3 linked regions of the Rattus norvegicus genome follow. The main gene of each other region encodes a partner of the protein of the gene in region 3 in a complex. Links are inferred from orthologs where the notes say so. Each region holds a gene or a part of one and is shown on either strand. Other genes may lie near its edges. The genes, in order: Ednra, Ednrb and Edn1.

Evidence for each region.
Region 1: the proteins of Edn1 (region 3) and Ednra are in contact, whole or in part, in a cryo-EM structure (PDB 8HCQ), measured with the Homo sapiens proteins. The link is inferred for Rattus norvegicus from reciprocal best matches to the Homo sapiens genes EDN1 and EDNRA. Residues at the interface, in NP_001403492.1 of Homo sapiens: Cys53, Ser54, Leu58, Asp60, Lys61, Glu62, Cys63, Val64, Tyr65, Phe66, Cys67, His68, Leu69, Asp70, Ile71, Ile72, Trp73; in NP_001948.1 of Homo sapiens: Tyr68, Gln72, Thr73, Lys74, Tyr129, Asp133, Ile136, Asn137, Lys140, Leu141, Gly144, Arg145, Trp146, Gln165, Lys166, Val169, Glu220, Phe224, Val227, Phe229, Tyr231, His236, Lys237, Thr238, Cys239, Met240, Leu241, Asn242, Gln252, Lys255.
Region 2: the proteins of Edn1 (region 3) and Ednrb are in contact, whole or in part, in a cryo-EM structure (PDB 8XWP), measured with the Homo sapiens proteins. The link is inferred for Rattus norvegicus from reciprocal best matches to the Homo sapiens genes EDN1 and EDNRB. Residues at the interface, in NP_001403492.1 of Homo sapiens: Cys53, Ser54, Cys55, Ser56, Ser57, Leu58, Glu62, Cys63, Val64, Tyr65, Phe66, Cys67, His68, Leu69, Asp70, Ile71, Ile72, Trp73; in NP_000106.1 of Homo sapiens: Pro88, Pro89, Ile94, Glu95, Ile157, Asn158, Lys161, Glu165, Asp166, Trp167, Val177, Pro178, Gln181, Lys182, Val185, Phe240, Ile243, Met245, Tyr247, Leu252, Ile254, Leu256, Leu257, His258, Pro259, Lys270, Lys273, Leu277, Trp336, Leu339.

Annotation. Positions count from the first base shown.
Region 1 is NC_086037.1:47,183,091-47,193,083, forward strand, and holds part of Ednra (endothelin-1 receptor precursor), read left to right. Parts: intron 1-5,675; coding exon 5,676-5,874; intron 5,875-7,702; exon of another isoform or gene 7,703-8,332; intron 8,333-9,182; coding exon 9,183-9,335; intron 9,336-9,993. UniProt on the Homo sapiens protein: Receptor for endothelin-1. Mediates its action by association with G proteins that activate a phosphatidylinositol-calcium second messenger system. The rank order of binding affinities for ET-A is: ET1 > ET2 >> ET3.
Region 2 is NC_086033.1:87,058,736-87,068,728, reverse strand, and holds part of Ednrb (endothelin receptor type B precursor), read left to right. Parts: intron 1-3,795; coding exon 3,796-3,908; intron 3,909-4,040; coding exon 4,041-4,245; intron 4,246-5,506; coding exon 5,507-5,656; intron 5,657-6,564; coding exon 6,565-6,698; intron 6,699-7,513; coding exon 7,514-7,622; intron 7,623-9,993. UniProt on the Homo sapiens protein: Non-specific receptor for endothelin 1, 2, and 3. Mediates its action by association with G proteins that activate a phosphatidylinositol-calcium second messenger system.
Region 3 is NC_086035.1:22,661,308-22,671,400, forward strand, and holds the start of Edn1 (endothelin-1 preproprotein), read right to left. Parts: upstream 5,381-10,093; 5' UTR 5,192-5,380; coding exon 5,128-5,191; intron 3,464-5,127; coding exon 3,295-3,463; intron 1,984-3,294; coding exon 1,825-1,983; intron 1,675-1,824; coding exon 1,561-1,674; intron 187-1,560; coding exon 84-186; 3' UTR 1-83. UniProt on the Homo sapiens protein: Endothelins are endothelium-derived vasoconstrictor peptides. Probable ligand for G-protein coupled receptors EDNRA and EDNRB which activates PTK2B, BCAR1, BCAR3 and, GTPases RAP1 and RHOA cascade in glomerular mesangial cells.

The sequences.
Region 1 (9,993 bases), on a different chromosome or scaffold from region 3:
AGCTAAATCCCCAGCCCCAACTTGTGTCCTCTTAACTCCTGAGCCAGCGCTCTAATCCTTACAATAACCACATATAAAATATCATTAGCTTTGAGGCTTTACATGATCTCACCGTATTCTACTGGAGGGAGGAACCACTTTTTTAATGCGACAGCAGTAATAAGGAGGAGTCTGAGGTCCTTTAAAAACAATTTTTAGTTTTTAAAACCATATTTTTCTTGTCTGAATCAGATTACCACCCAGGAAGAGTTGCCATGGTATTTCAGTGATATTTTTAAAATATGATAATCATCTGGGTTTGGAGCTGTCCTGAGAGAAAGCATATGTCTAGGCACTTTTGAATTTCTTCTCTAATTACTTACTGAAATGCAGAATGCAATAAAACCAAGGAAAAGTCCCAGTTCCCTCCCTGTGGTGCTGAGACAGATTCCAGCTCCCTCCCTGTGGTGCTCAGACAGATAAACAAGCCTGTCAGAGAGGCGCAGTCTACACCTGGTGGATGAGTTTCCTTTGCTCAACTGTGGACCTGCCTCAGTTTAACCCTTTTGCTAACTCCTCAAGTTTAACTGTTATTTATTTACCCTAAATATATGTTCTTAGTCTCGTATGAGAAAGATAGGAGGAAGTTTCCAGAAATAGAGAAAGAAATCTAAGAACAAGTTTTGGCTTCCGCCCAGCTTTATCGGTAAACTTTATATTGCTAAAGTATACTTTACAAGGGGTGAACTTTTCCCAGAAAAACTATGAATAATCAACCATTACCAACCATAAAACGTTTTTTCTTGCGGCTGTGATGTGTTTCAAATGTTACTTTTACTTTGTTTGGGGGAGAACAGAAGAAGAAAGGCGACTCAACGCTGCTCTTTGTGAAGTTAATAGTCTTGTTTAAAGTACAAGACGATGACAGGGTCATGTCATAAACAAGCCTGGGTACAGATCCAACTTGTAGTTAGAAGATGTCTGGGGAAGGAGCCTATAAAAAGATAAAACTCTCTTAACGACTCTTCCAGAGCAGTGTATAATTAGATACCTGGAAACCCTGCAACGATCCATTAGGAAGGCAGATTTTTCTCTGTACGCCCCAAGCTTCAGACATGATGCCAGCACCTCCAGTTGTTGATTGGTACCCTCCCTGATAATCTCAGAGACGAATCCTGGGCCAGAAAGCATAAGGTGGTTTTCAGAGGTGCACCCCCTTTAGACTTGGACCTGCTCTCTCCCTGTCCTACTTGTGGTTTCCCACTGCTATATAAGAAGAGGGAAGCACAGAAGTGGTTGAGCCGAAGAGACGGGATGTGGACAAAGTCACACTCTGGCTTGGGTCTGTTCCCTGCAGCACACGCTTCTTCATTCTTTATCTTACTCTGCTGTCAGGACCAGGCAGCTGGTTAGTTTTGCTATCCCTGTTTCTCTTTGATAACCAGATACCCTCAAACTCAGTCGTTTAAAATAACCATTTTATCAGATCTCACTATGTTATGGAACGGGAATTTGGCCACTTCTGTACCCTGTCACTCCGGGCTCCAGCCCTTAGCAGGGTCAGCTGGAAGTCTTGAGGCCTCTCAGCCTGGCAGGACTGTGGTGGGAGCCTATCAGAGGCCAGTCCTGGAACAGGCTGACATCAGAACCGTCCACAGAAGTGCACACATTGGCATCTCCCCTTCACCCAACTCACGTGGTTTCTTGTGAGAAGACTCTCTGATAGGATTTTCCCTCCAACCTCTGGGTGGCAGTGGGTTTGACCATCGTTTAAAGATATAAATCAGAACTAACCATCACAAATGACCAGTTGCTCTTAATTAAAGACAGCAGTGGTGCCCCTTCACCTTCTTGAAGTAGCAAATTTGAAGAAAAACTCATGGGTTTCGGTGTAAGCAAGCATCTGTCTAGGCAGTTCCTAGATACTGCATTTTAAATCACCTGATCCAGCATGCTAAAACACAGCTGTCATGCGACTGGCCGGGAGACTGAGGCAGGAGGATCACAGAAGTTAGAGGCTAGAGTGACTCCCAGCCAGGCTGGGTTGCCCTGTGAGACTGTATCTCCAGAGCAAATGTGTGTTGGCTACCTCTCATCTCCTGGAGTTAACAATTCTACTGCTGATCATGCATCCAGGAAAGTTGCTCACAGTGAGAAAAAAAAATATCTCTATGTACAAAGGTGTGCTTCACTCCTCTGAGAGGCTAAACATGACTCATGAGAGAAAGATTGGTAGAAATGAGATCAATATCGTGCCATCATGTGCAGCCATTGAACTACAAATGCCACGTCTGTGGGAGAGTGTTCTCATGGAAACAGCAAAATACAGTTATAAGTGACGTGAGTAAAGGCTGTGTTCAAACTATGCTTATGGGAACAGCAATGACCAGGGACTGCTGGTACACACCCTTAATCCCAACACTCAATCCCAACACTTAATCCCAACATATCAGTCAGACTAAAGGCTGCTCAAATATAAGAAAAGTAAGTGTGTGTGTGTGTGTGTGTGTGTGTGTGTGTGTGTTAGAAAATAAACTTCCAAGAAAAAAATTCAACGTTGCAGCATTTAGAGTTTCACAGTTCCCACAACTTCCCCATGTCTGTCCACTGTCACAGGATGTCGTCTATTGTCGCTCCTGTAGTCATTGCCTCATCTCACAAAGATGTTAGCGAGATCAACATGATTACAAATGGAAAACATTCTGATTCTTCGTGAGATGAGTCAATAAAAGACTGGACTGGTTATGGGCCATTTAGTGAAGTATCTGCTAAAAACCACTTCTGTGTATAGCAATCTATATCAGCATATATGTATCCGAGTGTGTGGTGTGTGTGTGTGTGTGTGTGTGTGTGTGTACACGCCTGTGCATGCATGCGTGTGCATCTGTGTGCCCATATGCATGCTGCACATGTCTATGAACACACACACGTGCATGTGTGCACTTGTGCGTGCACACGTGTGTGTGTGTGCGAGCGTGCACTTGTGTGTATGTGTACACATGTGTGTGTGCCAGTCAGACTTACTTGTGATACCATATGAAATGAAGCTAATTGATAAACATATTCATCACATTGTCTTACTTAAGCCAAACCCTAGACACCAGCTAAGACACCTGCTTATTACTCTTTTGTGAGGAGAGGTGTTTTGCTTAAATCACCTAACTGAGGTGACGGAAGGGGACAAGAGGCAGATGCATCTTGGCTCTCAGTCCTGAAACACAGACATCTGGTCTCCACTCCAGCTTTTACTGCCAATCAATAAGCCACAAAGAAGAGAAAATAGAACTGGAAATCAAAATAAGCACCAATCTTTATCCTACTGTAAAAAAAAAATATGAATTTTAGGATAGAGTTTGTACTCTACAAAAGGGTTTTCATGGTCTGTTCATAGAGCTGCATTTTATTCCATTCTGAACAAACCTGGGGTTTTTCCAGGCATTCTTATGCATGCAAATCTTACTTACCCTAAAAACATTTTGCAAACCACTTCTCCAGAAGATTGAGATGCGCATCTATCATGTGGTATCATTATACTATACAAAATATATACTGTATGGAAGTTTACATGTTCTAATCTCTAAGCAAGTCTGGTAAAGAATGAGGAGTTGTCATTCTTAGGAGCCCTGTTTCACAGATGCATACTGTGTAGACATACTGTGTGAGGTGGTGAGCAAATATAAATGACAGGGAGTTCATTTGGTGAATGTGGGTGACTTGTGCATAGCCTTGGCTCATTAATCTCGAGCAGTCAAATGTGCATCCTGCAAACTCAAGCACACCTGTATCCAATGCTTTGGTCTGTTTAAAGCCTTCTTCTGTCTGGCACTATTCAATGAAAGCTATAAGAAGAAAATGTTTCCTTTCCATTACAACAGGAAGCAAATTTTCAAATGAATCCACAAAAAGAAAAAAAACAAAAAAAAACAAAAAAAAGTCATTAAAAAAAATAAAAAGGACCACGGTGTGTCTCAGGTCTTCTCTTTACAGTCTGTGAGCATCCAACCAGAACATCAAATCAAAGAGCATGCACTTTCTTCAGACATTTAAGCATGACTGCTGCCAAGGAAACATTAAATAACCAGACATGGTGGTACGCAGTTGCAAACCCAGCACTTGGGGAGTAGAGCGAGAGGATCAGGCACTCAAGGTCATCTGAGGAAATGATTTGAGTTGTAGGCTATCCTGGGCTACGTGAGACACTGTCTCAACTCATACATATCCCAAAAATATTGAAAACGAGAACTAAAGTAAGCACGGTTTCTTAATGCCAGAGGGCTATTTATATCCCATCTATCCACACTTGTGCCCTACCATCCATGTCAACCATTCTCGTCTGTTGGGTTGTTGATCTGAAGGTTAGGAAGGAAGATATCTGTAATTCATATTCTCTGGCACAGGTCTATAATGGGATAGATACTTACCAGATGGTGTGCATTGAACCTGCCACCTGGTAAAGTCCAGTCTGATGGTGTCTTGGAGTAAAGGAAGGGAGGAAATGGTGAAATAGGTGTGGTCATGATTCACTCGGGGATTGAATACTTCATTGGTAATGTTTCCAGTTTTGTTAATAGATCAAGAGAAGCCAGAGCCAGGCAGTGGTGGTGCACACCTTAAGTCCAAGACTCGGGAGGCAGGGCCAGGCCGATCTCTGTGAGTTTGAGGACAGCCTGGTCTACAGAGTGAGTTTCAGGAGAGGCCAAGTTTTAGGATAGCCAAGGCTACATGTTCCCCAAAAGCAAGTATATAGAGATATAGATAGATGATAGATAGATAGATAGATGATAAATAGATGGATGGATGGATAGATGATAGATAGATAGATAGATAGATAGATAGATAGATAGATAGATAGATAGATAGATAGATAGATACACACACACACACACACACACACACACACAGGACATCCTAGCAGCTCTCACTACCTTACCTGTATCCCTCTTCCCCCCACCTTAACGCACACAGGTACACCTACCTCCTGGTGCCACTTTCTAAAGGCACTAAAATTTTATTTTTGCCATTATTTATTTACTTACTGCCTTACTGACAATTTCATACACATATACAATACATTATGAAAATAGTAACCTCCCCATTACCCTCTCTTGTCCCCTCCCCCTCTCCCTGAACCCCTTCTTCCTGACCAGTCCTGTCTCTCACCTGCCCCTCAGTTCAATAAATGTTGCTTATGAGCTTGGGCAGATTGGGCAGATGGACAACTCACCAGTGGCCACATTGCTGAAGAAAATGATACCACCTCCCTCTGTCTGTCACCACTAACAGCCAATGGTAGCTACTCAGGAAGGGGTGGAGCCTCATGGGTACCACCCCTTGATAGACGGCTGAAGGGCCCAGTCCTGTGAAGGCCTTAAACAGACCTCCATCGCTGCTTCATGTTCATGGTTGCCGCACCCGCATTATATCTGGGTGACTGTGTTTTATAGCACTCGTAAATTTTAGATCTTTATAGATTTTAGACTCAGGCCTGGCAGGCCGTTTCCAAATGGGCAAGCTGGTTTGCTTCGTTTTATTTTATTTCCCATCAGGGCTCACAGAAAATTCCTCAAAAGCCAATGGTTATACTTCTGTCCGGGGAAGGCATTTTCCAGTCAAAATTAGTTCAAAATATACTAACAACGTGATTTACCCCCCTTCTTTTCTCTTCCTCCCTCCCCCTATCTTCCACTCCTGTTCAGGTACAGAGCAGTGGCTTCCTGGAGCCGGGTTCAAGGAATCGGGATCCCCTTGATTACCGCCATTGAAATTGTCTCCATCTGGATCCTTTCCTTTATCTTGGCCATCCCAGAAGCAATCGGCTTCGTCATGGTACCCTTCGAATACAAGGGCGAGCAGCACAGGACCTGCATGCTCAACGCCACGACCAAGTTCATGGAGGTATTGATCATGCACGCAATTCACTAACCACATCAAGCTCAGTGTTTTAATTTAAAAACGTCCTAAAGCTCAAACTGAGTTAGTTGGGGAGGGGAGGCACTGTGCACTCCACTGTCTTGAGGCCTGCTACCATCTCCACAAGGCTACTGTGCTGACTGACTGCCTGCCAGACAATCCTGACCTGTGTGTAGCTTCCTGAATAGAGCTACTCTGTTATCTCCCCTCTCTTCCCCCCCCCCAACCCCCCGGAGCTGGGGATCGAACCCAGGGCCTTGCGCTTAGCGCTCTACCACTGAGCTAAATCCCCAACCTCATAGCACAGCGATAGACAAAATCGGCTTTCTGTATCAAAGAATTATTAGTAAGTCTCGCTTACTAAGAGAGACTACCTCTGTGTGTGCAAAATGTAATTTGCTTTTATGATTAGCAGATACACACAAGACATTCCATCTGATAGCCACGTCGATGTTACTTGAGGAAGCACAGCTAGCTCAGATATATTCCTGAACACAAATCTCATTTGCCCTAAAGATTTTTGACAGAACATTTCTCTGACAAAATGAGCAGAACCTATGCCCTGTGAGGAATCATTGTACAGCCATGAAACTATAGGTTCTGATCTAGAAGCAACTTTGGTAAGGAATTAGACATCAAGATTCCTCCGAGTGGGCTTGCACTGCACATATGCAGCAGTGTTTATGGGGCTGATATGAATGCAAACAGACTCAAAGGCTGATATCTGAGAACACATCAATCAATCAATCAATCAATAAAAGAACTCAGGAAAATTGGCAAATTGGCAACTTCAAAATCAAAACCATTTTCTTATTGCCTTTTAAGTAGCTCAGGTTCCACAATGAAAAACAGGACAGGTGGGTGACCCGGCCCATGTTTAGGGGATGGCAGACAAGCATTCTAGACTGCAGCAAAAGGCATTAGAGGAGAAATGGTCCTCTACAAAGGCACTTACTGGTCCCTGGAAAGGGACAAAATCAAACAGGTGTTGCCTCAAAGCCTGCGATTCCTGTGTAAGGGGCTTGAGGAGAGGGAGGCCAGGCGCTGGCAGGTTCCCTCGGGCTGAAATCTGGGTATGAGTTAAACTGGTGAGATTTCAGGTCACTCCAAGTCTAGAGTACACTTTTTTCTAACATAGCTTTCTATCTTTTTTAATGTTCCTTCCTTCCTCTTTGCCATCCTCTAGCCTGTCCCAAGGCCCTTTCCAGTGTCTAGCTGAGGACATCAGTTCAGAAACGAAACTGCGTGACCCCTTTCTCAGTAGGTCCCTCCCACGGGGGAGGGGGCAGGGTACTCCATCCTGCGCTGTCCTGGGTCACCTTCCAGACCCCAGGCAACAGATTGTGGGCCATATCCACTCAGCCTGCAATTCTGTGGAAAGAGGCTACAAACACTGGGTGGGTGAGGGAGCAGAGGGGGCGGGGAGGGGCTCAAAGGATGTTTGTGCTTCCAAACAAGGACAGAGGCCAGATGCTCTATGTTCTAGTCAGAGATCCTTCTGCAATGGGGTGGACTAGGAAAGATCTGTTAATAAATGGGAAAAAACTAATTCCTTTGGGAGTTTGCACTTAATGCAGGATAGAATTCAGGGTCTATGAACTTGGATGGGGAAAAAATGTATTTGTTTTCACTAAATTTCCCATAAAATGTATTATTTCCTCTGATTTTAAATATAGATAATAAGCCACTATATTGTTTAAGGGTATCATGGCTTTTTTGAAGAGAAAAAGTGGCCATCTTAAAACAGTAATGTTCAACATTTTGGTAGGTTTTTTTAAGTCATTATATTATTTAATTAGAACTACGTAATGTGTAATTTGTTGATGAATACATATCTTTACCAGAAGTTTATTTTCAGTACTTTGCTAGCTCCATTTCTGTGTAATTGATTTCCATTGTGGACACATATATTTAAATGTGTGCTTATTAAAATATAATGTTGAGGTCTGGAAAGTTAGTTCAGTTAATAAAGTGATAAGATTCAGTCCCCAGAAGCTATGCAAGAAGCTGGTCAGGATGGCACAGGCTTGTAAAAACCAGTGCTGGGAAGGAGGAGGACTGGAAAGGCCCCCATGTGAGACCCTGACTCAAAAAACAGGGCAAAGGGCTCTTAAAGAATAATACCTAAAGTCATTCTGTCCTATACACATGAACACATGAACACATACATGCACACATGCACATGAACACATGAACATGCATAAACACACAAAATATTGTCCTCAGAAGGAATTCTCACTCTCAGCAGATTTCCAAGGGGGTTTGTGGTGGTTACAAAGACTTGCCTGGACTTCTGTCTTCTGGAATCATTTTCAGATTACTTAAACAGTCATAAAGGGCTCCTGTTCATACAGAAGCTGTCAGTATTCAGGGAACAGGGTGATCCTATCTTCAGGAACTGGTCAAACTATCACAGGAAGCCATGTTAGCCTCCAGAAATAACCTGGAGAAAGAGCACAAGGAAGGAAAAAGCGTGTCTTCCCAAGGTTGAGGAAAATTCATTAGAAGAAAGAGTTGAGTACCGTTCTCCCTTTTTGATTTTTATTCTCCATTAGAAAGACAGGAAACTGGACATTCTGGGTTTATATAAATCCTTGCTCACAGAGAGAGAGTGTGTGAAATCAGCCTTTAGCTAGAATGCCTCCCCCCTCCGCCGTTGTTTCCAGGTGGCAAGTATTAAGAGAGAGAGGAGTTATTGCTGGCTGAGCTGGCTGACTCTGGGGTCACATAGCAGACATACCAGGCAAAGGGCTAACTGCAGTTACACAGATAAGCTATTCATTGAGAGCCTTCATGGTTCCTAAATGAGGCACTCATGGTAAGTACACTTTAAACACAACAATCAAAAAGTCAGCCGATCTTATCAAAATGCCGAGGCTCATCAATGAACATGAACGAAATCCAACCCATTGTATGAACTTTAAGAGGAGGCTCTTTGTACTGATTCATTGTGCAGTAGAAATCAGTGTGTCGGCTTCTTAGGACCATCCTTCTAGGGATAATTAGACCATTTTAATATGCATTTTTTTCATGTGGTACAGCTCAGCAACATAGCACTTGCCTAGTGTGTGTGAAACCCTAGCTAGGTATGATCCAGTGTTCATGTGATAACATATGATTCAGTGATTAAATAAAAAAAAATACTGAGCACAAATGCAGGTCTTCACTGCTGACAATGAGGGAGGGTGGATATATTAACCGTATCCACGAGCGCAGAGACTGTGGGGTGAGCAGGGTGCTTCACAGTTAGCTTTCATTCCAATGTCCCATCTCCCCTCTTCCTCCCTGGACAGTTTTACCAAGACGTGAAGGACTGGTGGCTCTTTGGATTCTACTTCTGCATGCCCTTGGTGTGCACAGCAATCTTCTATACCCTCATGACCTGTGAGATGCTCAACAGAAGGAATGGGAGCTTGCGGATTGCCCTCAGCGAACACCTCAAGCAGGTAAACCCAGTTCATGAGAAGGTGGCCAAGGCCTCTTTGACTCCTCAAGCCAGGGTTGTACTGATCATTTATTTGCACACTTCACTAACAAGGTACAGTTGCCTACAGTATGCAGTATCCTAGGAACAATAGGCTAGACCACACAGTCTACTGTGAGATATTTCGTACCATCCAACAATGCAGTATATTCTATGGCGTTGTGCAGTGTTAAAATTGTCAAGCTACACATTTCCCAGAACCTCTCTGTCATTGAACAACACATGACCATGTGGTATCTAACAGATTTACCCTTATTTTCTAAAAATAAAAATGTTCTCTTGGAGCTGTTTCTTTATATAGCCTTAGGAATTCCTTTGGGGGAAGTGGGCTCCTGCCTGTGAACCAGATGGCCACGGGGAGGCTGCGCTGAAAGATGGTTAACTTTTGACTATTTTGCCAAGAGTGTATTGAGCATGTGTGTATGGATACTCTCAGGAGTGCCAGAACAGAAAGATTCATGTGGCCATCTTTCTTTGTGGGGTCTGAAGTCTAGTCGTAGAATAAAATACAAATAACTAGACAACAGAGTGATGGAGTGCAGCCCAGGAAGCAGTACAGCATACAGCCGGGACACACAGCCATACAACAGACAGTCATACAGCACACAGCCCTACAGCAC
Region 2 (9,993 bases), on a different chromosome or scaffold from region 3:
CACAACTGTGCATTTGCACTGAGCAGGCTCACTCGATAAAGTAACACAGGGCCATCTACATAATCCGCTCCTTCCCATTTGCCTTCTATCTTGCAAAACAATCCTAATTCTGATTGCGTGGTGACAACCAAAAGCCCTCCTTCTGAAGTATACTGAGTACAAACAATATTACCAAGGACGACCATTCTTCCTTTCGTAGGCTCCTAAATGAAACCAGTCAGTCCAACCCATAGCTGAGAGCTGCAATTCAGGTCTAAACTGGAGTTGACCGAGACCTGGAGATAGACTGAAACAACTCGCTCCAGCAGAGGAACAAAAGAGGAAACCTAGTAGTTCCTCATAGTTCCTCAAAGCAAGAGTCCCTCTGTCGAATTGCTGTGAAGGCTCATGTGTATAAAAACCAGATACAAACAGGAAGGAAGAATTCTGTGGTCCTAGTGCCCAGGTAGCTCACACAACTGGCTCAGATTGAAAACACTGAAGCTCGGAAGTTTCACTGCTCAAATGGCTTTTGGGCCAATTTCCCCCAGAGAAGAAAATCTTGAGAAATCTCCAGGACGAACAGCATTTCCGATGCTTCTGGTGTCTGACTTGGTGTGCATGTTCCAACCATCCCTCCGTGGGTCACAGAATTCCTGACTAGCTCGCTGTATTTTCATACAAAAGTCAAATAATAGCCAGGTTCCTAATAGGCAGTAAAGCTGAAAACATAAAGAAATAGAAATTCGGAGAAAGTTCACAGGGAAAGTAACAACTAGGAAGGGTAACTATTGGGCATCAAACGCCCCTCCGGCCACGGTTGTGGACAATCTAAGGGCACATCACAGGGATAAAACCGGTAGGTAGCCTCACACATTTTGACAGAGCCAAGGTTTCTGGAATTCTTATCCCCAGTGGATAGCTGGTATCCCACTTGGCAATATACAGTTCTAAACGCCAAACTTGTAAACTACCTATAAAGTGCTTGGTTTATTTTTTTGGCAAAAATATAAATCATTCATTTTAGCACGAGGGCCTGATTATCGTGGCAGCACGTGGCCCAGCCTATTGCCATTTTGTACAAAGGTACAAAGTCATTTTTTTTTTCCTTTCGTTGACCACATTCTGAGCAACAAGTTACCTTTTAAAAATAACATTACCATCACACCATTTTCCTGTCCTTTTCCTAGCCTACTCTACGGCTGGTGTGTTCATTGCTTTAACCAACTACAGACTTGTGTTGTCTCTTCAGAGACATTCTTACTGGGAAGCCTATTGAGAAAACACCTCACATCCCATAATAGGGCTATTTCTGTTGGATACCATCTCAGTTGGGAATTTTCATATGTGGGGTTCCCTGACAAATAGCATCTGAGGCTTATTTGACAAAGATTATCCCAGACCTTGCCGCCACTCCTGGACATCACCTTCCTGAAGTCAGTGACTGGCTTGCAATGGCCCTTTCCTGCCTGTTAAGGTCCACAGCCTTGTCAGTTTCCAACCCCTATATGAAGTACATATGCAGGAAGTCTCCCCATGTATCTCTGTAACTTTTCATATCTAATTTAAAGATTAAATTGGACTCACGTTCATTCTTCCAATCTCAGTCGTGATGAGACAGACTGTCGCCTGTGAGGCCATGCTGGTCACAGAACAATTCACAGAGCTTGTCGCACACACTCCCTGGAGTAACGAGGCAGAAATCTCCAATTGTGTTTCAGGATAGCTCTCGCTTTTGTAAGGTTATTTTTTTTTTAAAAAAAAGAGTTTTTCAAGACCCCACAGATTATAAATATTTTTCTTTATTTACAAACTCTCATGAATATTAGATCCAGATGTCTACCTAAAGTGATTCATTTACCAGTGTGGCGAGCCCAGTGTCTAAGAAGGGAAACAGCTCCGTTTAACAGCAGTTGTTGATGCCAGATAAAGAGAAATATATGTATAAATATGGAAAGAGAATGGACTGTGTCTTTTCATTCAGTACCTATGCGTTTCGGCAGCATGAACGTCTGCCAAGTGTCTGCTATATGTCAGACACCATTGGAAGCAACTGAGGAACTCATACTCTGTCTTACACTTCAGAGAGTCGGAGAGCAGAAGCTAAACAGGCAATAAAGTATCTTTTATAGGCAGTAAGAGCTGCTAAGAACTATAATAAAGGGAGGAGGGTGAAGGAGATAGGAAGGCCTGGCCCGTGGTTGGAGGGGCAACGTGTTCTAAGTAGGTCCTCTGGGGGAGAGGAGATCTGAGCAAGTCCTGAGGGAGGTGAGAGGGCACATGTCCATCTGTAATGAGAAGACTGGGTAAAAAGTAGCATAGACCAGATGCCCTGTGGCAGGCATACACTGACCCAGTGCATCTAAGGAGTGGTGCGGCTGAGTTAGTAAAGTAAACTACTAATGAGAACAAAACCTTACCCAAGATGCAATCCACAGACCACAGGAAGCTCAAGAAGAAGGACTGCCAAAGTGCAGATGCTCCACTCCTTCTTAAAAAGGGGAACAATAATATTTATAGGAGGGGATATGAAGGAAAAGTTTGGATCAGAGACTGAAGGAATGGCCATTCAGAGACTGCCCTACCTGGGGATCTATCCCATACACATAGAGTCACAAAACTCAGACACTATTGCTGATGCCAAATGTGCATGCTGACAGGAGCCTGATATGGCTGTCTCCTGAGAGGCTCTGTCAGAGCCTGACAAAGACAGAGACAAATGCTAGTAGCAAACCATTGAACTGAGAATGGGGTCCCCATTGGAGGAGTTAGAGAAAGGATTGAAGGAGCTGAAGGGGTTTGCAACCCCACAAGAACAACAATGCCAACCAACCAGAGCTACCAGGGACTAAACCACTACCAAAGACTATACATGGCTCCAGCTGCATATGTAACAGAGGATGGCCTTGATGGGCACCAGTGGGGGGGAGAAGCCTTTGGTCCTGCCAAGGCTGGATGCTCCAGTGTAGGGGAATGTCAGGGCAGGGAGTCAGGAAGGGGGGTGGTTGGGGAGGGGAACACCCTTATAGAAGAAAGGGGGTAGGGATAGGATAGGTGTTTATGGACAGGAAACTGGGAAAGAGGATAACATTTGAAATGTAAATAAAAAATATCCAAGGGGAAAAAAAGAATAATTGGAAAAAAAAAAAAGGAAACCTTGAGCACCCGTAATGCTATCTGCAGAATAGGGGAAGTCCAGTCATCTCCTCTCAAGACTATTTAACCTTTTGTTTAATAAAACTTATATTCTAACATGGTCATTACCTGAGCTCTGAAGCTTTGTGAAATATCCAGTTTCCATTTTCTAAACCAGTGGCCCTCAACCTTCCTAAAGCTTTCACTCTTTAATACATCCACCACACATGTTGTGGTGACCACCACACATCCCTCCAACCATAAACTTATTTTTTTTCTTTCGATGTCACAACTCTAATTTTGCTACTGTTAAGAACCGTAATTTAAATATCTGTATTTCCAAACTGTTTTGGGTGATCCTTGTGAATGAGTCATTCAACTCCTCCCCCACAAGTGGGCCACAGCCCACAAGTTGAGACCCTCTGTTCTAAAGGGTCATTAAGCAACTGGGTCATTGGCCCTTCTGACAAGACCCTGATTGTGCCACCAGTCTACACAAAATGAATCTCATAAACCGGCTGCATTTGCATTACTTCCAATGTGTTCTATATTGGGCACAGGGGCTTTTCAAAGGGCAGTTCTTCCTTCCCTCTGACTGCTAATCACCAGCCCTCAATGATCAGTTCTGAGGCGGCCTTGTGAAAAATCTTTGTAACAGCCCTTCACCTCTCCTCTATGCAGCTGCTGGCAGGGGACTGGCCATTTGGAGCTGAGATGTGCAAGCTGGTGCCCTTCATACAGAAGGCTTCTGTGGGGATCACAGTGTTGAGTCTATGTGCTCTAAGTATTGACAGGTAAGAGTCCATTCTTAGGCCAAGGAGATCCTAACCCACCATATAACTGCTCTGTCACTTAGGAGATGAACTATGCAATTCAATATAACCAAGCCCTACCTGCCTGAGAGATAATTCTGTTTACGTCTCCAGATATCGAGCTGTTGCTTCTTGGAGTCGAATTAAAGGAATTGGGGTTCCAAAATGGACAGCAGTAGAAATTGTTTTAATTTGGGTGGTCTCTGTGGTTCTGGCTGTCCCTGAAGCCATAGGTTTTGATGTGATTACGTCGGACTACAAAGGAAAGCCCCTAAGGGTCTGCATGCTTAATCCCTTTCAGAAAACAGCCTTCATGCAGGTAAGTTCACTTCGCCTGTTCTTCCTGCACTTTCCTTATAAATATTTAACTATCTCCCCCAGTTCCCCACCTTGGTAAGCTATTGATTTATTACTACCTCTGGCATAAATTAAGAGTTTGCATCCCAAGACTGTGAGGTTAACCATCACTAATGACCCGACCTACAAGAGTCAGGATAATTATTCCTCCAAGAACACCCTGGGGATCCAGATAAATCAAGTTCCTACAAGAATGGCTGTGACTTTATGGCTTTTGTGTCTAAGGTCCCACAGGATTGATTATTATTGTGTAGTCTACACAAGACAACCCAACATTGTCAGAGAAGCAGATGGTTTAACATATGTTTAGATAGAAGTTGCCTAATTGTAGTAGATTTGGAACAGCAGCCTGACCCTTCGTCTCTGACGGTAAAAGAAAAGCTGTCTTGCAAAATAATATCAAATTTTGGCCACCTACTAAAGAACTTCTGATCAGAAAATAGGAAAGCATGGGGATATTAGTCTCCAAATGATAGATCCTAAGTATAAGATTTATTTTAGGCAGGATTGGTTAATACAAAGGGGGTTGATTGGTCTGAATATAACCAAGGATTATTTTCTATTTTACATGTAAAAGACTATAAAAACTTTATGAGCTACACATTCGACAATCAGTGAAGGAGCAAAGTGGGTCACCAATGCAGAGTTGAGAAGAGGTTGTTGTTTACCAGAAGGGGAATATAGCACATTGGGGACATAAAATTCTTTCCAACGTAGATATATCTGAATCGATAAGGTTTTCTGAAAGGTAACAGTAGAAAAGAACACAGGAAAAGTGTAACTCTTGATTGACCTTTCATGTAGACACTATTGACTTAAATGGCCAGTACAGACCTCTTCATACCTGGTTTTCACACTAAACACACTTAATAGAAAGGGAAAACATCACCTAACACTGAAATAGGTTTATATACTTAACACCTAACATTTGAAATACCTGGTTATTCAGTGTTATCTACACATAAGAATTTTGCTCAGCTGCCTACAGGTTACTATACTGTCCCAAAGAATTGAAATATGTTCTGTAATATTTCTTTAATTTAATGCAGGACTTTAATTATGTGTTCAGTAGACAGGGCCCATGAAATTCTATACAGTACATAGACGGAAGACGTTACCAAAATCATTGTCCTTTGATGAATATTTTATTTTTAGTTGACATTTGATACATAAGGTGCTTTAAGCAGGAGATATTAATCATAAACATTTCTTTCTTCCCATAGTTTTACAAGACAGCCAAAGACTGGTGGCTGTTCAGTTTCTACTTCTGCTTGCCGCTAGCCATCACTGCGATCTTTTACACCCTAATGACCTGTGAGATGCTCAGAAAGAAAAGTGGTATGCAGATTGCCTTGAATGACCACTTAAAGCAGGTAAGAGGATGGGAGAATCCAGTAGAGGGAAGCCCTAACTATGGTCAGATGGAAGTCATGATGATGGTGATGATGGTGGTGATGGTGATGATGATGATGATGATGATGATGATGATGATGTCACCAAAAATGATGATAAACTAATATTAGACACTAGAACATATTTTCACTTTCATCCTTCATTCTATTTCTGTAACAAAAAAACATTTTATATTACTTGTTTAGAGACTATATCATCTACAATGATCTAAAGAGAATCATTGCCTTCTGCTGTTGTTTTAAGCTAGAATCTCAATTAGCCCAGGCTAGACTTGAATTCAGCATGTAGCCAGAGATAACCTTGGATTCCAGATCCATTTGCTTCTGACTCCCAAATGATGGTAGTACAGACCTGTGCTATTTTTCCAGTTTCACTCACATATGCGTGCATGCTCTCTCTCTCTCTCTCTCTCTCTCTCTCTCTCTCTCTCTCTCTCTCTCACACACACACACACACACACACACACACACACAAAATGGTTGTATAATATATTTTTAGATTTATTTTATGTATGTGAATGTTTTGCTTGTGTGCGTGTGTGTGTGCCTGGTGCCCATGGGGTTCAGAGTAGGGGCATCAGATTCTATGAAACTGGCGTGATAGATGATTATTGACCACTATGGAGGTACTGGCAATCGAACCTATTTCTTTTGCAAAACAAGTGCTCTAAGCTGCTGAGCTGTCTGTCCATCCCACTCCCCCAAACCCTTAGTTTTAAAACATGATCCCTAGCGATTTTAGGTCTAAGTCGCACTAATTATCTAACTGAAAGCTCATTGGCCCAAGTCTTTATTTGTGTGAATACGATTAAGTATCTCTGTGATAAGAGTGTGTGTTAGCTTTATAAGGATCCGTTGTTCTGTTTCAGAGACGAGAAGTGGCCAAGACAGTATTCTGCCTGGTCCTCGTGTTTGCCCTCTGTTGGCTTCCCCTTCACCTCAGCAGGATTCTGAAGCTCACCCTTTATGACCAGAGCAATCCTCAGAGGTGTGAACTTCTGAGGTAAGAAAAGACAGTAGAACACATGTGACATGGAAAGAAATGTGGCAGCTATCTGGGGGAAGGTAGAGGGAGGTAGGAGGGGGTGCTGAGGGGGAGAGGTAAAGAAAGACCAAAACGCAATGACATGTATGTCATAACATGTATGTGATAACATGTATGTATGAAACTCAGTAATCTGTGCTAACTTAGGTTGAAAATAAGAGACTAGAAATAATTATGAAATTGTCTTCCTGATGTTTCTCCATTATCAATCCGTCTAATAGGCAGAAAGAATACTATTTTCTTATCCACAGAGGCCAATTAAGACTCCCCATTTTCCCTTTACTCCTGCTCTAGATGGGTAAATTAGAGGGATTGGGAAACCTTGGGAATGTGGGCACAGTTGTCAGAATGATGAGTGACAAGATGAAAAGTGTCAGATCCGAGATGTCACTGTTCACATCAGTCCCCTCTCTTCTGAACACCCCGTCACTTCCAAACGAGAACCTTACTTTTCAAAGAAAAAGCTGGATGTGGGAGATGAAGGCAGTGGAGATGCCAAAGACAGAGAGAGAGAAAGAGAGAGACAGACAAAGAGAGAGAGAGAAAGAGAGAGAGAGAGAGAGAGAGAGAGAGAGAGAGAGAGAGAGAGAGAGAGAGAATGGCAGGCAGAGCAGCAGACAGGTGCTTTACAGGCAAATCGGTGGTTAAGCAAATCGGTGGTCAAATCATTGCGTGCACGTAATTTGGGTTTTCTTCATAAACACACAAAGGTGTGCATTAAATCCACACTTGGAGGAATGTAATCTTTACAGACACATTTGGGTTTCTTGCAGTTTTTTGCTGGTTTTGGACTACATTGGTATCAACATGGCTTCTTTGAATTCCTGCATTAATCCAATCGCTCTGTATTTGGTGAGCAAGAGATTCAAAAACTGCTTTAAGGTAAGGGATTCTTCTAAGATAAAAAGTATCCTGTGATCTGGCATCCAATATGGGCTTTAAAAAAACACTAATATCCCTATCTAGAGAGAGCTGGAAAATTGCTAATTTTTCCTGCTTTGTAATATATGTGATGTTTTTAAATATTGCATTTCCACGACAGGACATATTTGTATATTTGTCAGGAGTCAGCCATGCCCTGATACCTTAGCCACTCACCGATACAATTAGACTTGATCAGGTTAATAAAAAATAACATATATTGATGAACATTATCATGCGGTCAAATAAGAACGAAACACAGTTAGATGCAGTGTTCCTCCAACTTGGTAGACTTTTTTTATTGTTCATCTGCGCTTTGTGTTCTAAGTCAGTTTATCTCTTTTTCTCATGGACTTTGGGAATAAAGTCAAGGACTAGGAGATGGCTCAGTGGGTGAGAGGGCTCACTCTGCAGGCCGGTCCAGGTCAGGTCCCCAGAACTGATGAGAAGAGTGACCCATGCTGTGCTGGGTAAGGAAGGCAGAGGTCGGCAGGGCTCTGAGATTTCAAGGCCAGTCCGAGTTACATAGTAAGGGCCTACCTCAAAACACCAAAGAAGGGAGAGGGAGGATATCAAGCGTGACTGCCCTCATGCCTAAAATTCTAGTGATAGGATTGCTAGGGACTGGCAGACACTAGCTTAGCTCCAGGTATAGAGACCCTGCTTCAAGGAAATAAGGTGGAGGGGGATAGATCAGGGCACTCAATGGCTTCCTCTGTCACATCACATACATCACACACACACACACACACACACACACACACACACACACAAATAGCAAGTATAAATAAGTTAAAATAGTTTCTACTGCATCTTTTCTACCTTCTATGTATAGTGGCAATATGTTGCTGCATGTGGAATAAAGCATACTTTAACCCAGATGTTTGCAACGTGGCAGCCCTCCATCTATTCGGGCATTCTTTCAATAATGCAACACCAAGAAAAACATGCCTCCCCTCGCAAGAGAATGAACACTGTCCCTGGTATTTCATTACTTGAAAACCAAAATTCATTTCATCGTAAACACTGAAAATGTCCTTACCCATTCATAACTCAGACATTAGTGGTGGAAGAGAACTTTTATCCAAGCCAACTCCTTTCTTTACAGAACAAAACCCCTGCTATTTCTCTGGGCATAGAGTTTATCATAACATAAACAGAAAACCTATTTCCTTAGACCCATAGTCTATCATAAAACAAACAGGCCGAACAAAGTCTTAAAAGTTTAAAAACTCCAGTGAGAAGTAGAAAAATAAAACCATGCTTTATAAATTTATAAATTTATCATATAACAATATCGGAAATGCATGTGTAGCTTAAAAATAGCTAGGCTAGTAAACTCATTGGCCTGGGAAGAAATGTAGGTCAGTGTTAAGACAAAGCAGATTATGGGGCACTTATACTAGTCACATCTGAGGACAAGCATGTGGGCAACTGTCATATTTGTGTTCTCAAGGAAAAATGTTTGACTTTCATGGTTGTCACACATTAAGTACCACTTTCCAAGTAAATAACTCTAAGTGTCAAAAGGTGGCTTTCGGGCTAAAGAGATGACTCAGCAGGAAAAGGCACTTGCTGTACAAGCTTGTGGGTATGAGTTCAAATCCAAGCACACACATCAAAAGCCCGGCTTGCCTGCCTATGCCTATAACCCTAGCTTTACAGACACAGAGATCCTAAAGACAGCCTGATCAGTCAGCTAGGCAGACAGCGAACTCCAGTGAGAGATCTTGTCTCAAGATAGTAAAGGAGAATGCAATAGAAGGAAACCACAGACAATCTTCTCTGGCCTCCTGCACAGTGTGTGTGCATCCATACACACACACACACACACACACACACACACACACACGCACACACACACTCACACACACGCTCACACACACACACAAACATACTCACACACTAGCACACACACACTCACACACAAACATACTCACACACTAGCACACACACACTCACACACAAACACACTCACACACATGCTCACACACACACTCACACACAAACATACTCACACACTCGCACATACTCACACACACATACACACAAACACACTCACACACATGCTCACACACACACTCACACACAAACACACTCACACTCACACACACACTCACACACATACTCACACACAAACACACTCACACACAGGCTCACACACACACACTCTCACACACACTCACACACACAAACACACACACCACACACACAAACACACACACACACAGTCACACGCATACACTAAAAAGACCTAGTGATTGTTTCTTAAGTAATGCTTTTTTATCCCTTTGTACTTCATTATTGCCAAAAATCAGCACATGCCCCCAAT
Region 3 (10,093 bases):
CAGCCAGCATGGAGAGCGCAGAGTTGGCCATAGGGCTCGCTCTATGTAAGTCATGGCTTCCAAAACACCACGGGGCTCTGTAGTCAATGTGCTCGGTTGTGTATCAACTTCTGGTCTCTGTAGAGTTCCGCTTTCAACTTTGCAACTCGAAAGGAGGTCTTGATGCTGTTGCTGATGGCCTCCAACCTATTAAAACAAGAGAGGAGAAAATATTCAACACACACTCACAGAGATGGAAACAAATCACTCGTTGGCTAAAGAAATGTCTAAAATTAGAATCTGGCACAAACGCACTAAGTCTTAGTTCCTGGCCCTTTGCACCAGTTGTAGCAATGTGGTGCCTCTTTGATAAATCCTCAAGCAGCGGCTACGACTATTGTGTGAATAGACCCTGCTGTCTATGCTGTTTGGTGCTGTGGAGAGGAAGCCTGTGAGTATGTCTACAGGGAGTTAAGTTCCAAATGTTCTGCTTAAGTAGCGTCATCCTACCCTCTGGCACTTTCTAAACCACAGAAGAAATGGAAGCTAACAGGTGGATGGAGAGAAAATTAGGGAGCCTACAGGGAGACCTAAGCGAGTGCTTAGTGACAGTTTAAAGGGTTGTGCAATGTCAGTGTGTGTGTGTGTGTGTGTGTGTGTGTGTCTGTGCACGCGCACACATATGAGAAGGGACACATAAAGAACTGGAGCATCACTTTCGTAGTTAATGGAAGACAGAGTAACAAAAAGGTATTGAGCCTCAGGTCAGCTGTGCAACTGTGACCTGGTGGGACCCCACAGTGGTGGGTGCGAAGGAAGAGCTAAGAGGGGCTGTCCCCACACAGGAGCAGTAACCAAGTCAGCAGTCCCTCCCCACGGCCACATTGGGCTCAGAACACTTTGGTCCCAGAACGCCTTGACCCTGGATGACTTGGGGACACTTCTAGAGATAGGAGTGAGCCTATGACAGATCTGAACAAGGGTCCTTCTCAGTTTCAAAAAGTTTAGCCTTTGGAAGGATCACCAAAAAAGCTGCTTGTTGCCACCCTGTGGCATTGCCTAATCCAGCCCTCTCCTGGGCCTCAGGAAGCAAGCCAAGTGACACCTGGCCCTTCAAATTTCCATATTTCAACAATAGTAACGGAATAAACCTGAAAAACAACATGTTCTAAATCTCACCAACCTTATCTAATGGCTTTATTTCCCTTTGGCCATTTGAATCACTAGCACTCTTGGAGTAACATATATAAATATTTTAAATGTCTTTTTCTTTGGCATGATTTTCAGTTTCTCCAGGCAAGCAGAAAATGAAAGACCAGAGGAGAAAAGACTGGGCATGCTCAAACTCTAGAGCTGTCTTAGTGTGGAAGCTCCATCCATAGACTGAACAATGTGTGCTAAGACACAGTGGGCAGGCGTCTGCACTCAAGGCCCCAGTATCTGAGGAGCCCTTTGCTCCTCTGAGTCCACAGACCATGACGACTCTGTTACTGTACTCAAGCTTTTCTTTCTCCCAGTGGGAAGGACTAGGGAGCCATTAGCACTGGTATCCAGGGCCAGGAGTCCCCATGAGCCTCTTACCTTCTTAGTTTTCTTCCCTCCACCAGCTGCTGATAGATACACTTCTTTCCCAGCTTGGGACAGGGTTTTCCCTTCTTGAAGTCTTTTACGCCTTTCTGCATGGTACTTTGGGCTCTGTGAAGACAGACAGGGAAAACCACTTTAGCGATGGCTTGTTGAGATTCACCTTGCCTGTCCATGTCTCTGCTCCTTTCTCTAAAGTGAAAGACCATCTGAGAGGGAGCAGGCCAGCAGGCTGGATAACTCCAAGGGGCTTCCACTCACCGGAGTTCTTTGTCTGCTTGGCAGAAATTCCAGCACTTCTTGTCTTTTTGGTGAGCACACTGGCATCTGTTCCCTTGGTCTGTGGTCTTTGTGGGAAGTAAGTCTTTCAAGGATCGCTTAGACCTAGAAGGGCTTCCTAGTCCATACGGGACGACGCGCCTGTTATGGAAAGAGAGAAGGAAAAGATATTAGCCTACTTAATAATCTTTCAAATTCCTTGGGCCTACAATTCAGAGAGCATTCATTTGGACAGCTCATGATACCAAAGTACGGAAGCCATTTGGCCTGTCTGCCCATCAGTGGTCCTCAGTGTATGTTTCCCCTAAATGGGAAAACATCAGCTTTCCTTCTGAATCAATGAAATTCTATTTCAATACTTAACAATATTCCATTTCATCTAGACACAGTTTTGTTCCAGATTACAACCTCTGTTTGGGTTTCTGCTTTGTGCTTTCTTTCTTTTCTGGTGTCAAGTGGGTCATGGGGCCAGAAAACAGAAGGACTCCAGCAACACCAAAACATAAGGTTTTCTACTTCAGTCATGTGTGGCAACGCTGCCTGGTGGAGCATGGCACCTTGGCACATTGCTCTAGAGTTCAGTAAAACTGAATGGCTGTGAAGGACTTAGTGTCAAAATGCTCTCCGATAACTTGCAATGAGTCCGTTTCAATTCACTCAACAAGAAACGGAGTCCTCCCCTTGGTAGAAACACTACTAAGGATTAGGTCCTCGGTGGTTTGGGTCTGGTTTGGTTTGGAACTTGGCCAGCCATTGTAGACAGAATAAATGTGTTTGTTCTTTCTGCTGATTGCTCCTAAGGAGTGGACTAGTGTTGGGGGCTGAGGGTAAAACAGCCTCTGTTCACTCTGAAGGTACAAGAGAAACCTATGGGCGCTGTTCTGAGCTCTGCCTTGGATCACAGTTTTCTAAAGACGAAAGAGAGAAACAGGAAGCTCAGTTCCCTGCTCTAGCCCTACTCCCAGCTCATTCCTGTGCAAGGGGCTTCAACATTGTGTTTCTTAGTTTTCCTATAAGTAAAAGAAAGGAAATATGTCATAACTCCCTATTACATCTGTATGTCTGGAACAGATTCAGCGAGCCTCTCTGAGAAGTATAGGTATGTTACCCTCCATAGGACCTGGTCTACTGATCCCTAAGTCCACATCGAGAGCCTCTCGCTACGTTCTTCCGTCCCTTTCTTGTCTTCAAATGCACAATTCCTTCCTGTTTGCCCTCATCCCACAGTAAGCAGTGTGACTCTGAGCCTCTCAGAAGACCCTCTCCTACATGGCTACCACTAAGCTCATCTGTCTCAGTCAGCACTGTTCCCCCTGGGAGGCACGTTTTTGCCTTCAGAAATGCAAAAGCCCAGAAACCTCCCAGAACAGAAACCCCAGCTGGGTCTCCCAGCTCCAGAAAGCCCCAGCAGTAAGAGGATGGCTAGGACTACAATGCCCTCTAGAGACTCACTCGGGAGTGTTGACCCAGATGATGTCCAGGTGGCAGAAGTAGACACACTCCTTGTCCATCAAGGAGGAGCAGGAGCAACGCTTGGACCTGCGGGGTCTCCAGGATGTGCTGGGAGGGGGGCTCTGCACTTCCTTCTCAGCTCGGGGGCTGAGCTCTGCTCCCAAGACAGCTGTGAAGAGAACAGAGGGTCGGGTTAGTAGGAATCTCTCTTCAGGCGTCCAGAGCAAGCACCTGCATCCAAGTATTCAGGCCAGATCTAGCAGCGCAAATAGAAGCAGACAAGGCATAAAACTGCCTTTAGCCAGAAACACAAACAGAAAGAAAGAGACTTCTTTGTTCTCCGTGCTTAACAGGACTTCACCCTTACCCTGGCTGGCTTATCCAACCTGCAGGGAGATTACACACACACACACACACACACACACACACACACAGAGAGAGAGAGAGAGAGAGAGAGAGAGAGAGAGAGAGAGACAGAGACAGAGACAGAGAGAGAGAGAGACAGAGAGAGAGAGAGAGAGAGAGAGAGAGAGAGAGAGAGAAACAGCTAGGAAAGGACTCTTCCAGTCTTCTGAAGACGCTTCAAAATGGAATTTTGAGGAAGTCCATACCTGAGACTTAGACTAGCACAACTCCCATAGATTAAGCTGGCTGGTGGCCACAAGTAAATAAGACAGACCGTCTATTCCTAGCAGCCTTGGAGCCACGTTCCCAACTCAGGATAACCTCCTTAGGGGTACCCACCCCATTCCAGCTCGTGTAGGGGCACAGAATGATCTAGGTTGCATATGGGTGCCTTTTTATGTTAGGCAGAAAGCAAGAACTTCCAGAAAATGCCTGGACACCGAAGAGAAACTGACTTTACAACAGTCACTGCAGGTGGGAGATAAGTGGCCACTCAAGGAAGAGAAGGTACAGCTCAGGGGAGCCAGGGAAGTACTCTGGGTTCAGAATCCTGGGGCCGCACAGCTTGCGTGGGACTTGACACCTCCCTCTGGCCCAACACAGCATCGCTAGCCTCTTTCAATTGACCATTTGGTCGTGCATTTTCTCTTCCCAATTTTGTTCATTTCAAACGATCAGACACATTCCAGGATTTTCATCCCTTTGACAACCTCTCTCTTTGCTTAGGGTCAGGTGAAGACAAAAAGAAGGCACTGACCCTAAAAAAACAGGATGGGAGGAGAAAGAACCAGAAGCGGCCCATACTGTCTAATTCCTTAATCAGGCAGGAATGATCCCGGCTCCCTTCCCAGGACAGGTGAATACTACTGAAATAGAGCTCAGGCTGTTTGAGGATGCCAAAAACCTGCCAAATGAAACCTTAAGTCAATAGTGACAAATTTTAAAGAAAGCATGTGCTTCGCCCTGAAACCGCCTGCGGGGTTACTCAGCGCACGGTTGATCGGCAGGTGATTTCACTGCTCACGTTGTGCCTGCATGACCTGAATAAAATTCCTTGGCTTTAAGCTGGAGTGTTTTAGTATTTTACACATTAGCACACTATCAAGACAGCGTTTGAATAAGCTCCTAAATGCACCATGCAACCCTAAACACACGTATTTCAAATATATCCTTGCCTCAGCTGTAGCCACTCAGCGATACGGCTACAACGTTATTTTAAAGCTATGTGATACTCGGTTGTAGTCAGTTGTATTCAAACAGGAGTTTTATTCCTTTCGCTGGCACACAGAAGTAATTGCAAGGCACTTGCTGCTCCAGCTTCAGTAATTTAAAAAAAAAAAAAAAAGGACAGAAAGAAAAAAGAAAAGTGGAAAACAGAAGCGAGAACGGCGTTGCGCTGAAGCAGAAAGATTCGCAAGTGGCACCTACCTGTTTCTGGAGCTCCTTGGAAAGCCACAAACAGCAGAGAGAAGATCACGGGAAAATAATCCATTCTGCAAAGGGATCAGAAGAAGAGGAGGGAAAAAAAGAAAAAAAAAAGAAAGAAAGAAAACTCGGTTGCAAATGGAACTCAATGCAAAACGAAGAGGACGGTGTCTGGTTGCTCTGATCGCCTCTGGCTTTTGGAGATCTCAGCGCGGTCTTCAAAAAGTGGCCCCTTCACCGGAGCGAAAGCGTCGCGGGCAGCCCGGGAGGCAGCGCTCGAGGACAAGCGGAGCAGACCCAGTCAGGCTCTCAGCGCCAGTGCTGGAACGCGTCTGGCTCGGACAGCTCTCCGCCGGGCTTTTTATATTGAACCCCTATAGAGTGGGGGTAAACAGCTCCGACTTTATTCCAGCCCTAAACAATGTTATTGTGTGATTAGTCACCCACAGGCAACGTGCAGCCGGAGATAAGACCCGGCTCTAGAGGAAATCACGGCTAACTTCAGAGGCAGACGCCCGCCGTCTGACAATCCAGGGGCAGGGCTAAGAAAAAGAAAACACCCACTGGACAGAGACCTCTGCAAAACCTGCACCGAGCGGCAGCCCGCTTCCCCTTTTGCTAGCTGCCAGCCCCAGAGTTCAAGAATCAAGAGGTTCTCCAGAAGAAAAGTCACCCCATTGGAATGAAAAGTATGAAGTACAATTAAATAGATTGTATTGTGCGCGCGGGGGGTGGGGTGGGGGTGGGGCTGATCATTGTTCACTTGATTTTCCTTTTATGTCTTTCTGATTTCTTAGTTGGATTCAAACCAGGGGAGGATCCCCCTCTTCGTTCTTCACTCCCTGCTACTTGGGGTGGGGGCGGGAGGAAGACCAGATTATTTAGGGAGATCAGCTTACTTTTCCAAACTCCCCCAAGTCTTTTTTAAACTGAAGTTCTTCGCAACGGAGGTGCGAAGGATTCCGTCAGGAGCTAGCAAGGAGGGAAAACTAAGGAACAATGATAACAACAGCAATATGGTTTCGTCAGGCACATCCTAGTATCGCCGATCAGAAGGACCCCCCCACTCTCTCCCCCCTCCAAAATTTCCTGTGCCCAGCCTCTCCCTGGGAATTGCACCCCCCACCCCCCCCCACCCCCCGCGCGCGCGCGCGCTATCGGGAAGAATCTTGAGAAATGGCAGGAACGAACACCAGGGGGAGACGAAGAGCTGCAGGGGCTTGTGCTTTAGTAAGATAAAACAATTAAAGCCTTGGCTTCTAAATGATTAGCAACAAGCCGCGGCCGGGCAGAGAAGGGCGCCTCACAGACGAAAGGAGAGGTGACTTCAGGGCATTCCATTATTCCCTTCCCTGACTTCCCAGTCTCCTCCGCCCCACTTTGCTTGCACACTGGGGCGAACCAGTGTCCTGTGCCTGATTAGGAAGCTACAGGGAGAGCGTGGGGAGGGGAGGACTGCCTATGCTGACTGAGTAAGTGGATCAGATCATACCTCACCGTTTAATAACGTGTTTACGTTTTCCAAACAGTTTCCTGTCTATTTTGCCATGAAATGCTCCCTCCCCCGGGTGCCCATGGGTTATTAAGGTACAAGTGACAACATGTCTTCATGAATAAAGCAAAACACACATAAAGCACATTGACTTTTTCAATAAGCTTCACTTTTCAAGGGAGGAAGAGGGAGGACCCCCCAGAATGCCCAAAAGCTGGAAACAACACGCGGGATCCACTCAATGGTTTCCCTATAAAGGATCTAAATCAAGATGTGAGGATGCCACCGCAAAGGTCCCTCTTTCATCCCTCTTGTTCTACTCCGATTTTCCCTGGGAGTAGATGCCAAGAGAGACTCACTTCTAACACGGGACCCACACAGGGACCCACCCCACGCAACTATTCATTTAGCTCTTCAACTCTACAATCAAAAGGCAGATTTGATAGCGATTCCCAAGCTGTGGACAGGGACATGCTTAGGCCTAGTGAGCTCTCTGGAAATCTCGGTAGGGGAGACAACACAGCAGCAGCTTTAGGTCACTGAGAACTCTGTCCCTTAGGAGACTCTGTACTAAGAGCTGGAGACATTGGAGAAGCAGGAACCAGCAACCCTCCCACACCCACACCCGAGGCCCAGGGCCACTGGTAAGCTTCTGCCTCTGCTTTGCTTACCTCAGACCTACCCCGGAGGGTGGGGGCCAGGAGGTGACAGCTACCCCTAGAACTGGGCCCCAACAGGAAGCCAGCTCATCCCACCCCAGCTCCTCAGGGGACCTGGAGGAGAGGAGAGCTGATGTCACCTACCCAAAGTCCAAGCTTCCCACCGGCAGGGGAAAGGTGGCTGGGAAATGTACACCCCACCCCCACCGCTTTCTGACCTCCTGGCCAATCTGACCAAACTCTGGCAACTATCAGGACCAACCTGTCCTCAGCTCCGCCCCGGAAATGCCCAACCCAGTTCTCGAAGGCATCCTCCAGTGTCTAGCCTGGGCCATCATTCTTCAGCTGGGGGACCTCTGGAGATACCGGTGGCCCCAGCATCAAGGAAAGAAGGGAAGCAAACATGTTTTTCTACTGCCCATTCTCTTGTTGCCTACCCATACCACCCTGAACATGTGCTCGAAAATCAAATGTAAACTCTGGCGGCCATCCACTCGGACTCTCTTCTTCTAAAGCTCAGCGAGAGGAAACCGCAAATAAAAACCGAGATCGTAGCCCCGGGAGGGTCCCATCTTTCCAGGTCTACCTTTTATGTTTTGTCCCGAGTTCCCTAGGCCTCTGTGTGTTTATGCATCATGTACATGTCTGTGCACCTATGTCCCTTTTTTATGTGCTTGGGACTAAGGGTAGGCTCTGCCTCTCTACCCATCTCTCCATCTCTGTCCCTTACAGCAGCCCCCTACCCCGCTTTTCTTCCCATGAAAGGAAGGAGGAATCCTCACTCAAGCCCAGAGAGGGAAGCTCTAGGCTACACTAGGCAGCTTCACCAGATAAAATTTTGCCAAGTAGCAGGGGGAGGAGAAAGGAAGGCGGCAAACCAGTCTGACAAGCTCGATGGTCCCACCCACCTCCACTTAAGGTATTACTATTAGAGAGGCTAAAGACCAGAAGAACGGCATAAACATGCACAAAAGTTTTATAACTAGGGGTGGGGGCTGCCTTCCCGGAGTCCATCCCACTTTTCAAAACAGTCCCCAGGGGAACGCTCGTTGCAGCCCATCACCCTGAAGAGTGGCAAGGAAGATGGGTTTTTCCTGTCACACAACAGCTCCCTGTTGGCCTTCTTGTTCCTGCTTAAGATGTACCCTTGAAATGCGGGGAAAACTGTCTGATAAAGCTGTTTTTATGTTTTTCTTTTCTGTATCTTTGGCTGCATATTAATAGATAGCTATAAATAAAACAGCCTGAGCCTCAAATACAGAGACTACACAGTAGCAGAGTGTACTGTTTTTAGCACTCCTCGACTTTGGTCTTTCTCAGCTTTTGCGTAACGAAACTTGCAACTTTGCCAAGCCAATAAATTTAGAGTGAGATGTTGCATTTTGCTCAGGGAAGAGAAGAGCCGACTGCCCAACAATGAGTGGAAATTAACTTATTTGTGGGCAAGGTGAAGCTATGCAGACACTGAGCCTGCTTTAATCCTGTGGTGACTGTGCTATGTACAATGAAATGCCATACATTACAGTCATTGTGCATTGTGCCCTGGCCACACGGCATGCACGTGGGAGCTGTGAGTAGACAAAGTGTCTTTCTCCCTTTAATCCAAAAAAAAAAAAAAAAAAAGTTAATATCCCACCGGAAATGAGATAGCCCGAATCAAGTTATCCAATGCATTAAAAAAAATTACGAAGTATGTCTTATATTTAGTTTAAAAGGTTGTGTTCAGACTTTCTGACCTGTTATTCCGAAGTTCAGTCACCAGGAAATCTCTTTCATATGTTGTTTTATTTGTTTGTTTTGTTTGTTTGCTTTGCCGCATTTGTGTGACATGGGTAGATGTTTTAAAAATATTTTATTGTTAGCAAAATTGCTTCTCTTACATGAATAATTTTAGAACGTGTGTGTTTATGGGCTTCATTTATGTGCATGTATGGGTAGAGGATAGAGTTGGTATTTAGTGTCTTTCTAGGTCACTCTCCACATTATTCATTATTGACCCACGGTCATTCATTGAACCTAGGTCTCACCCTTTGGCTAGGCCGACTGGTCAGTAAGGCTCCAGGACCTACCTGTCTCTGACCCTCAGAGCTAAGGTTACAAGCACAAACCTCCAAGCCTAGTCACCACAGGAATGCTGAGAAACCCTAACTCTGTCCTTATGCTTCAAACTACAAGCACTTTACCGACTGATTCATTTCCAAGGCCAGAGAATTTTTATACCACTTATGCTATGCTTAGTAATAATACATATGATGCTATGGTTTCATGCATATGGAATATTTGATTATTATCTGTTCATTATGGTTTTAGAAAGGGAAAAAATGCTTGTCCCGCTATAACCATGGTGGCGTGCTCACCACGTTGGCTAGATTAATGTCCCATTCATTGAGACATCATATACGTTAGAAAGGCTGAAGTTTGTTCCTCCTCTCCAGTTCTATTTTCAGCACAGACACCAAATACCGTCCATCAAAAACTCTGACAACAGAGGGTGGTGTACCTCAAAGGTTAGGGAAAAAAAAAAAAAACCAAACAGTTGCTTTGGGCAGAAATGAGAAAAACAAAAACTCACATCTAAAATATTCCCAGGTAACAGGTCCCCTGATTTAGTGACTTATCCCACCAGGGTTTTACAGTTGCTTGTGAGTTCCCTTGCTATTCTCATCCTAAATTTACACACCCAATGCACCATTGGCTCTGGTGTGCACTTACACACACACACTAATCTGTAGATTTGAATGGGAGCATACCAATAGTGCACACGTCACAGTAGAGAATGGCAGCCCGTGTCCACAGGCTGGTCCTTTGTCTTCAAGTC